Rattus norvegicus: one gene and its partner. The protein of the gene in region 2 binds, or shares a complex with, the protein of the main gene of each other region. Links are inferred from orthologs where the notes say so. Each region holds a gene or a part of one and is shown on either strand. Other genes may lie near its edges.

The links. The genes of interacting proteins can lie anywhere in the genome.
Region 1: the proteins of Scap (region 2) and Insig2 are in contact, whole or in part, in a cryo-EM structure (PDB 7ETW), measured with the Homo sapiens proteins. The link is inferred for Rattus norvegicus from reciprocal best matches to the Homo sapiens genes SCAP and INSIG2. Residues at the interface, in NP_036367.2 of Homo sapiens: Pro200, Ser206, Val282, Ala283, Glu284, Ile286, Pro287, Thr290, Ile294, Ala297, Tyr298, Phe301, Lys305, Tyr351, Val354, Val355, Glu359, Thr409, Leu410, Val411, Ser638, Tyr639; in NP_001308258.1 of Homo sapiens: Phe41, Val45, Leu48, Leu49, Ile51, Val55, Leu57, Phe58, Pro59, Val62, Ser65, Ile66, Glu104, Trp105, Ser106, Met109, Arg110, Val112, Ala113, Val114, Val116, Gly117, His120, Gln132.

The regions. Positions count from the first base shown.
Region 1 is NC_086031.1:35,037,198-35,040,892, reverse strand, and holds the start of Insig2 (insulin-induced gene 2 protein), read left to right. Parts: upstream 1-794; 5' UTR 795-819; coding exon 820-1,063; intron 1,064-3,695. UniProt on the Homo sapiens protein: Oxysterol-binding protein that mediates feedback control of cholesterol synthesis by controlling both endoplasmic reticulum to Golgi transport of SCAP and degradation of HMGCR.
Region 2 is NC_086026.1:119,229,361-119,233,011, forward strand, and holds part of Scap (sterol regulatory element-binding protein cleavage-activating protein), read left to right. Parts: intron 1-1,818; coding exon 1,819-1,931; intron 1,932-2,937; coding exon 2,938-3,032; intron 3,033-3,644; coding exon 3,645-3,651. UniProt on the Homo sapiens protein: Escort protein required for cholesterol as well as lipid homeostasis.

The DNA of each region.
Region 1 (3,695 bases), on a different chromosome or scaffold from region 2:
TGTCAAGTGCATGCCAGAGGTAGACAGTGGGTACCTGCTTTAGTCTTCTTCCACTGTGGTTTTGAGACAGACCTAGGCCAGCCAGTGAGCCTGAGGGATCCTCCTGTCTCCCTCTCTCCACCACTGCACACCTGGCTTCTTTATGTAAGTGCTTGGATCAGATTTAGGCCCTTGTACTTGTGCTGTAAGCACTTTGCTAGCTGAGCTTTTATCTCAGACCCTAATGTTGACAACTCTCTCCTTTTAAAGTTTTATTTGTGTGTGTTTTATGTTTGCGATTGTTTTGTCTCCGAGTATGTATCACATGCATGCCTTGTGTCCACAGAGCCCAGAAGATGGCATTGACTCCACTAGAACTGGAACTACAGGCATTGTGTGAGCTGTCCTGTGGGGGCTGGGAACCTAGGTCCTCTGCTTGACCTTGTACTGCTGAGCCATCTCTCTAGCTCTGGCTGAGGTCTCTTGAGTCACTTGTTGTGCCCTAGTGAATACACATGCAACATTTATTTTTTTACAACATGCATATAAAGACTCCTTTAAAGGATTTTCTTAATTGAGTAAATAATTTAAATAAATCAGTATAAGTTCATTGTTTCATTCTGTTTCTGCTCAACTAGTACTGAAGCGTGATCACTTGTGCTCATGTGTCAGCCCCATGCTGATTCTTTCTTTTTATCTCTTGTAGGATTTCTGGTAGGCTCCACGTTCAGACAGGATGTGGTACCATTGAGACATTGGTCTGCTTCAGTCCACAGTTCACCTTTTCCACTGGGAGCCTCATTTCATTTCTCGGCTTAGGCCTCCTGAACTTATGAAACCATGGCGGAAGGAGAGACGGAGTCACCTCGGCCTAAAAAGCGTGGCCCCTACATTTCCTCTGTCACCAGCCAGAGCGTGAACGTGGTGATCCGGGGAGTGGTGCTCTTCTTCATTGGCGTGTTCCTGGCTTTAGTGTTGAACTTGCTTCAGATTCAGAGAAATGTGACACTGTTCCCACCAGATGTGATCACCAGCATCTTCTCATCTGCATGGTGGGTTCCACCGTGCTGCGGTACAGCCTCAGGTGTGTGGAAGGCATTTCTGTGTTGCTTATGTTGGAATAAGGCCCTGCTTAAGTAACAGTGTGTATTTGTGTGTGGGTGGGTGTGCAGGAACACTTGTGTGCCTGCATGTTGGCGTCTTCCTCAATTATCTCTAACTTGTTTTTCGAGGCAGTCTCTCACTAAACCTGGATAGCACTAACTGGGTAGACTAGCTGGCCATTGAGCTCCAGGCACCTGCCTGTCTTGTCTTCTCCAGCACTGGGATTACAGACGTGTGTCACCACAGTGACTTTAATAGATGCTGAGGATCTGCACTGAGGTCTTCATGCTTTTGTGGGAAGTACTCTACCTGCCTCATGGAGGATATAATTATATGGAGTGCAGTGGACCTGGACCTCTGTGAGTGAAGTTTGCTGTATTTGGTGTATGCATGCAGTCACGTAGTGTCCCCCATCACCCGGCAGTGGCGTTTCTGTCATTCCCAGGCTTTCTATGCCCTTCTTCCTTTGTATCCCAGCCTCAGGCTGCAGTGGCTCTGCTCTCTGTCCTCCAGGTTTATCCCTGCCTGCTCTGCTGTCCTTGGAGTCAGCCAGTAGGTGCCTGGTGCCTGATGGTTGCACCTTTAAAATGTACCCATAACACCAGTTCTCGTTCTCCTAGGGATGAAGCATTTAAAATCTTTTCTTTTTCTCACTTCATCTCCCTCTTATTCTGAATTATTTTGATAATATCCACTGCTGTTTAAAAGTTTTGACATAAGGGCTATACTTTTGGGTTTGAAGCAGACACAAACTTAATAAGTAGAATAATTTTATTCAAGTTGAAAACTTGGTGTATTTCTAGATTTTTGTGTATGGTTTTATCCTTTCTGCCTCATTTTTAAATGTAGCAGAAGAATAATAAATACTCGAAGGCATCAATGGGGTAGACTGTCTGTGCTTAAAATCCTGATAGTCCTCTTAGTGACTTTGACTGTGTTCAGTAACGGACACTGATGGCCAAGTGAGATGTGTTCTGATCTTCAAACGATGCTGAGCTGCTGTAGTGGACAGCTCTTTAGCTGTGCCTAATGCCAAGGTCAGTGGGTCAACCCTGCGTTATATAACAAGTAATAGAAGGTAGTCACAGCCATGTGGGAGAGGATGATTGTAATTCTGACTGTGTATGCTTAGTGTGCATGAATACCTTACGACACAACACGGGGTACCTTTGTCCTACATCCTAGAGCTAGAGGTTGCAGGCATGTCCGTCCAAAGCCGAGGTTCACTTGTGGGGTATCTTCAAGTAATTTTGTGAAACCTACTGGACAGTGATGTAACCCTGCTACATGGACAGATGGATATTGTTGCAGTCAGATTACATGTGGCTTAGAGAGCCCTGTCAAGCTATGAGAGGCCTTAAATTAAGATAAGTCATCACTGCCTGGTCTCCCCAGGGTTATCGTTCTCTAAGAAGCAGTCCAGATAGACAAGAGAGCTTGTAGCTTATTCTTTGCTGTATCTGCACATCTACCTGTATTTTCCTTTACTTAAACTCAGAAGATAAAACATTTCCCAGTAGCTGCTAGTTCTTTTTTCCCCTTCAAGATAGACCTTAGTCCTCCTGACTTAGGTTCTTAGACCTAGTAGCTGTCCTACCAGGGTCTCCAGATTCACCACTTTACTGTAAAGGAACAGGAGTCACCTGTCCCTAAGGGCGGTCCTAGGAAGCCGAGGCGTCTTGAGTCATTGCTAAGGAGTCTCACAGTCTTCTGTGGATTACTCTCCTTTTCTCTCATCTTTCTTTTCTTTTCTCTTCTTTTCCTCCTCTTCCTTCTCTTTATCCTTCTCTTCCTCTTCCTCCTTTTTTCTTTTGGTAAGAGGATGTTTTTGGGGATTTCTGTAATTTTTTAAATTAAAATATGATTGATTTTCTCCTTCTCTATCCTTCCTCTAGCCCTCCTTACTCTCTCAGTTTCATGGCCCCTATTTCTTTGTTAGTTTATTACGTACATAGACACACAGACAAACAGACACACTACACACACACACAAACACACAAAACCTGTTTTGTCATGTTATTTGTATATGTATATATTCAAGTAAATACAAGATTTGTATTAACTGAGAATTTTATATGTATGGATGGAATTTTGTTTTTTGTTTGTTTTGGGATAGGGGCCACTATGTAACTTTAGCCTGGAACATATAATGTAGACCAGGCTGGCCAAAACTCTTCAGAGATCCACCTTCCTTTCCCTCCTGAGTGCCAAGATTAAAGACCTGTGCGACCATAGCTATCCCAGCTAATACATTTTGATTATATTCACTTCCTACTCCTGCCTTCTCTGCCTTCTCCCCTCCCTCATCCCAGCTCCACATCCTCACGCTTGATCCCCCTTTTGTAATCTCACAGAGTCCAAGTACAATTTGTGCTTCCCATACAACAGTCCATTGGATAGTGGCTGAGCTGCTTGGGGCCACATGCTTAAAGAAAACTGATTCTCTCTTTTACCTGTCAGTGGGTCTTCAGCTACGGAAACTGCTTCCTGCCCTGTGCTGGACAGTTGACAGGCTTCATCGTGTGCAGGCGGCCACAGCTGCTGTGAGTTCATTAGTGCAGCAGCCTGGAATGCCCAAAAGATAGCCTCACCAAGGTCTTCCCCGACGTCTC
Region 2 (3,651 bases):
AGGGTGAGCCATCAGGCAGGCCCCTTGCACACACCTCTGGGCACTGTCGACCCCTGGACTAGATGTTTGTTGTTATGCAATGTCTGCCTTATTATTTTTGACACTGAAGAGTTCATTTTCCCCTCCTTAAGCATATGAATATGCCATGTCTTTCTCTATATAGAGCATGTAGTTATATGCATGTATGTGTTTGTACATATGTGTACATATACATTGTGTGCTTTTAGAATATTTATATTTGCATATGTATGGTATATGTGTATATATAGATGTTATTGTTTATATTTTTAAATCTACATGCACACTTTCATTTTTTAGATTTATTTTTGTTATTTTTAATATGTGGGGCATAGGGAACATGCAGGCAAATAGAGGTGCCTGTGGAGACCTGCAGAGAGCCCCCGGAGCTCAAGGTACAGGGGTTGTGAGCCTGGTATAGATGCTGGGAACTGAGCTTAGGTCCTCTGTAAGAGCAGTAAGCACTTTTTTTTTTTTTTTTTTATGGTTCTTTTTTTCGGAGCTGGGGACCGAACCCAGCAGTAAGCACTTTTAACTACTGAATTACCTCCGCAGCCTGACACTGCTCTCTAAGGGCTGTGTCTGGAGGTGTGCAATAAAGAAGCATACATGTCTTCCTCACTATTAAAAGAGGACTGGCAAGGTGGCTCAGTAGGTAAGGCATTTCCTGCCAAGCCTGATGACTTGAGTTCAATCCCTAGAATCTGTTTGATGGAAGGAAAAAAACCAGCTCCCACAAGTCGTCTTTTGATCTCCACATGTATCCTGAGACACCTGTGTGCATGTATGCATACATACATACATACATACATCATACATACATACATACATACACACATACACACATACACACATACATACATGAATATAATGAAAGTTTTTTTTTTAAAAGATTTAAATCCCCAGATAGAGTAAGTGTGGAGTCCTGTTGTCAGTGTATGGGGAGGTATCGCTCCCCCCCATTCCTCACTGATGTTCCTTTCCCCTCATTCCTCAGAAAATCTTAGTGCAGAAGCCCTTCCCTATGTCTGTCCTCAGGCTTTGGGCTCTGTGGCTGCCCTGCCTGAGTTACTAATGGACTGGCCCATTGGTCGTCCCTGACCTTGACTTCTCAGGCAGTCATAGGAAAAACTAGTGCTAGATATCAGACCCAAGGCCTAGGAAGGGAGTCAGCAGCTGTGCAGAAAAGCTACTTTGTATGGCTCCTGTTGGGTTCGTGTTCTGGGCTGCTGGCTTCCTTTTCTGAGGCACTCTCAGAGCTCTGTGTGCATGGACAGGGCTCAGCCAGCAGCCAGATGCCTTATGGGACAGTTACTCCTCTCAAGACATGGCTTCTCAGTAGAGGTGGAAGGATTCAGGCTGTAGCCATCCCTCCCATTTAGATGACTATTTTGGCCTGGAGTGACAAATGTAGGCTCCATGCTTATTCTGTCAGCCATTGGAGGCTAGTGTGGGGGATCAGGAAGGCTGGGCTCTGGTAGCAGCCAGCAATGCTCTCTAGTGGGCTTTTCCCAGTTTCCCTTCTCTGCTGGGTAGAAGAGACAAGAGACATTAGCTGACCCCTTAGCAAAGCTTTGGAGTCTGCCTCAGGGCCAAAGGCTGTGTAGACAAGGAACCTTGTTGGATAAAGGTACATTAGAGAAGGTTCCTTCCCTAGGTCACAGAAGCCACTTGGCAGCCTCTATTATATATAGGCTGGAAGCCCCCACAGCTTTCCCAGGGCTCAAGCCTATAAGAACTAACCCTATGTTAGACCTGGTCGTGCTGCCATCTCTTACTGTCTCTTCCTCTGTTCCCCAGCGAGATTTTCCCATATCTGGTGGTGGTTATTGGGCTAGAGAATGTGTTGGTGCTCACCAAGTCAGTGGTATCAACTCCAGTGGACCTTGAGGTGAAGCTTCGAATTGCACAAGGTAACACTGGGTAATGGGCTGTCCCTCTTATATTTAGGCCCAACCCTCAAAATGTGTCTGTTAGGGCTGTGGTGATAGCTCGGTCAGTAGAGTGCTTGCTGCACAGACATGAGGCCCTGCGTTCAGTCTCCAGACCCATGCAAAGGCCAGGCACAGTGCAGCGCAGCTGTGATCCCAGTACTAGAGACAGATAGGTGGCCCCTCAGCTGGCCTAACCTAATCGGTGAGCCGTGGGCCAGTGAGAGACTCTGTCTCAAATACAAGGTTCCTGAAGAACAGTCCCTGGTGTGACCTCTACACATACTTGTGTACATATGCACCCACACAACCCAACAACAGCCTCTCAGAGTTAGCCTGGGTTGGCTTGGAACTTGCTATGTAGACCAGGCTGGCCTCAAACTCCTAGAGATCCGTCCATCCTTACCTCCTGAGTGCTGAGATTAAAGGTACACACCACCCTGTCCTGCTAAGAGGAAGTAGATGTCTTAGGTTCTTTATCCTAGGCCTATGTCTGTGACAGTAACCAGAAACTGACTACACTCATTCCACCTTCCTCTGATGAACTTCTGTGCTTCTAGACTCTGCCCTGGGTGTGGGGTTATAAAGAGATGAGGCAAAATCTTTTGTGTAAATAGAGTCTTGTTCATATGACAGCTATGGCAGCCTAACCCTAAGAGCGGCACGAGGACGAGTCTATTAGCTCTGCCATCGCTCTGCTGGTCAGGAGTGGATGTGGTCATAGCTAAAACAAGAAAGCACTGGGCTGTCTTCTTGGCTTTTCTTCTCATCACCCTGGTTCTCCCTTTTTCTGCTGGACCCCACCTTCCTCTGTAGCAGCTGCACCATGGTGCTGACTCCCTAGAGTCTGCCCACTGAGTGGAATGGCTGCCCAGAGGCCGGACCCCCTCTTCAGGCCTCTGTCCTTCTGAGGACTACAAGGTCAGGAGTAGACATGTCGCTCTTCCCTGCCCTTCACTGCCTCAGTACTTCGGTTTTCCCTGTGCAGGCTTAAGCAGTGAGAGCTGGTCCATCATGAAGAACGTAGCAACTGAACTGGGCATCATCCTCATTGGCTACTTCACCCTTGTGCCTGCCATCCAAGTAAGGCTTCAGGGTGGCCATATGGGGCATGTGTGTGTGTGTGTGTGTGTGTGTGTGTGTGTGTGTGTGTGTGTGTGTCTGTGTGTCTGTGTGTCTGTGTCTGTGTGTGTCTGTGTGTCTGTGTGGTGTGTCCTGTCATCTCATGCAGGCTTTCAATAGAATCCATGTTGCTGTGTCAGAGATCTCAAATAAGGGCAGGGGAAGAAAACTTAACTTTGAGCAAGTCCTGCTCCTTAACCAGATGTAGGATGCAAACCACCCTTTCCCATGTTAGGGCAGAATCCTCCTCTTTCAGTGCTAACTGACCAGAAAAGCACAATGAGCAAGTTGGGGCTTGTGCAGAAAGGCTCTTTAGGGAGCATGCTGGCGGCTTACAGTTCCCTTATGCCTTTCTCAAGGGACTTGAAGAGCCTAGAAAAGCACCCTCTAAGGCCACTCTGGAGCAAAGTATGCAGGCGCTGCCTTGCTCCCCAGTGAACAGCTCTCCTTACCCTACTAGTCAGCTCCCAGTCTCCAGAAAGCACAGCTGAAGAATGTTTTCCTTGGCCATTGCTCTGCCCTGCTAGTTCTGGGGACCGTGCAGCCACCATGCCTCCTGTGTGTTCACTGCAGGAGTTCT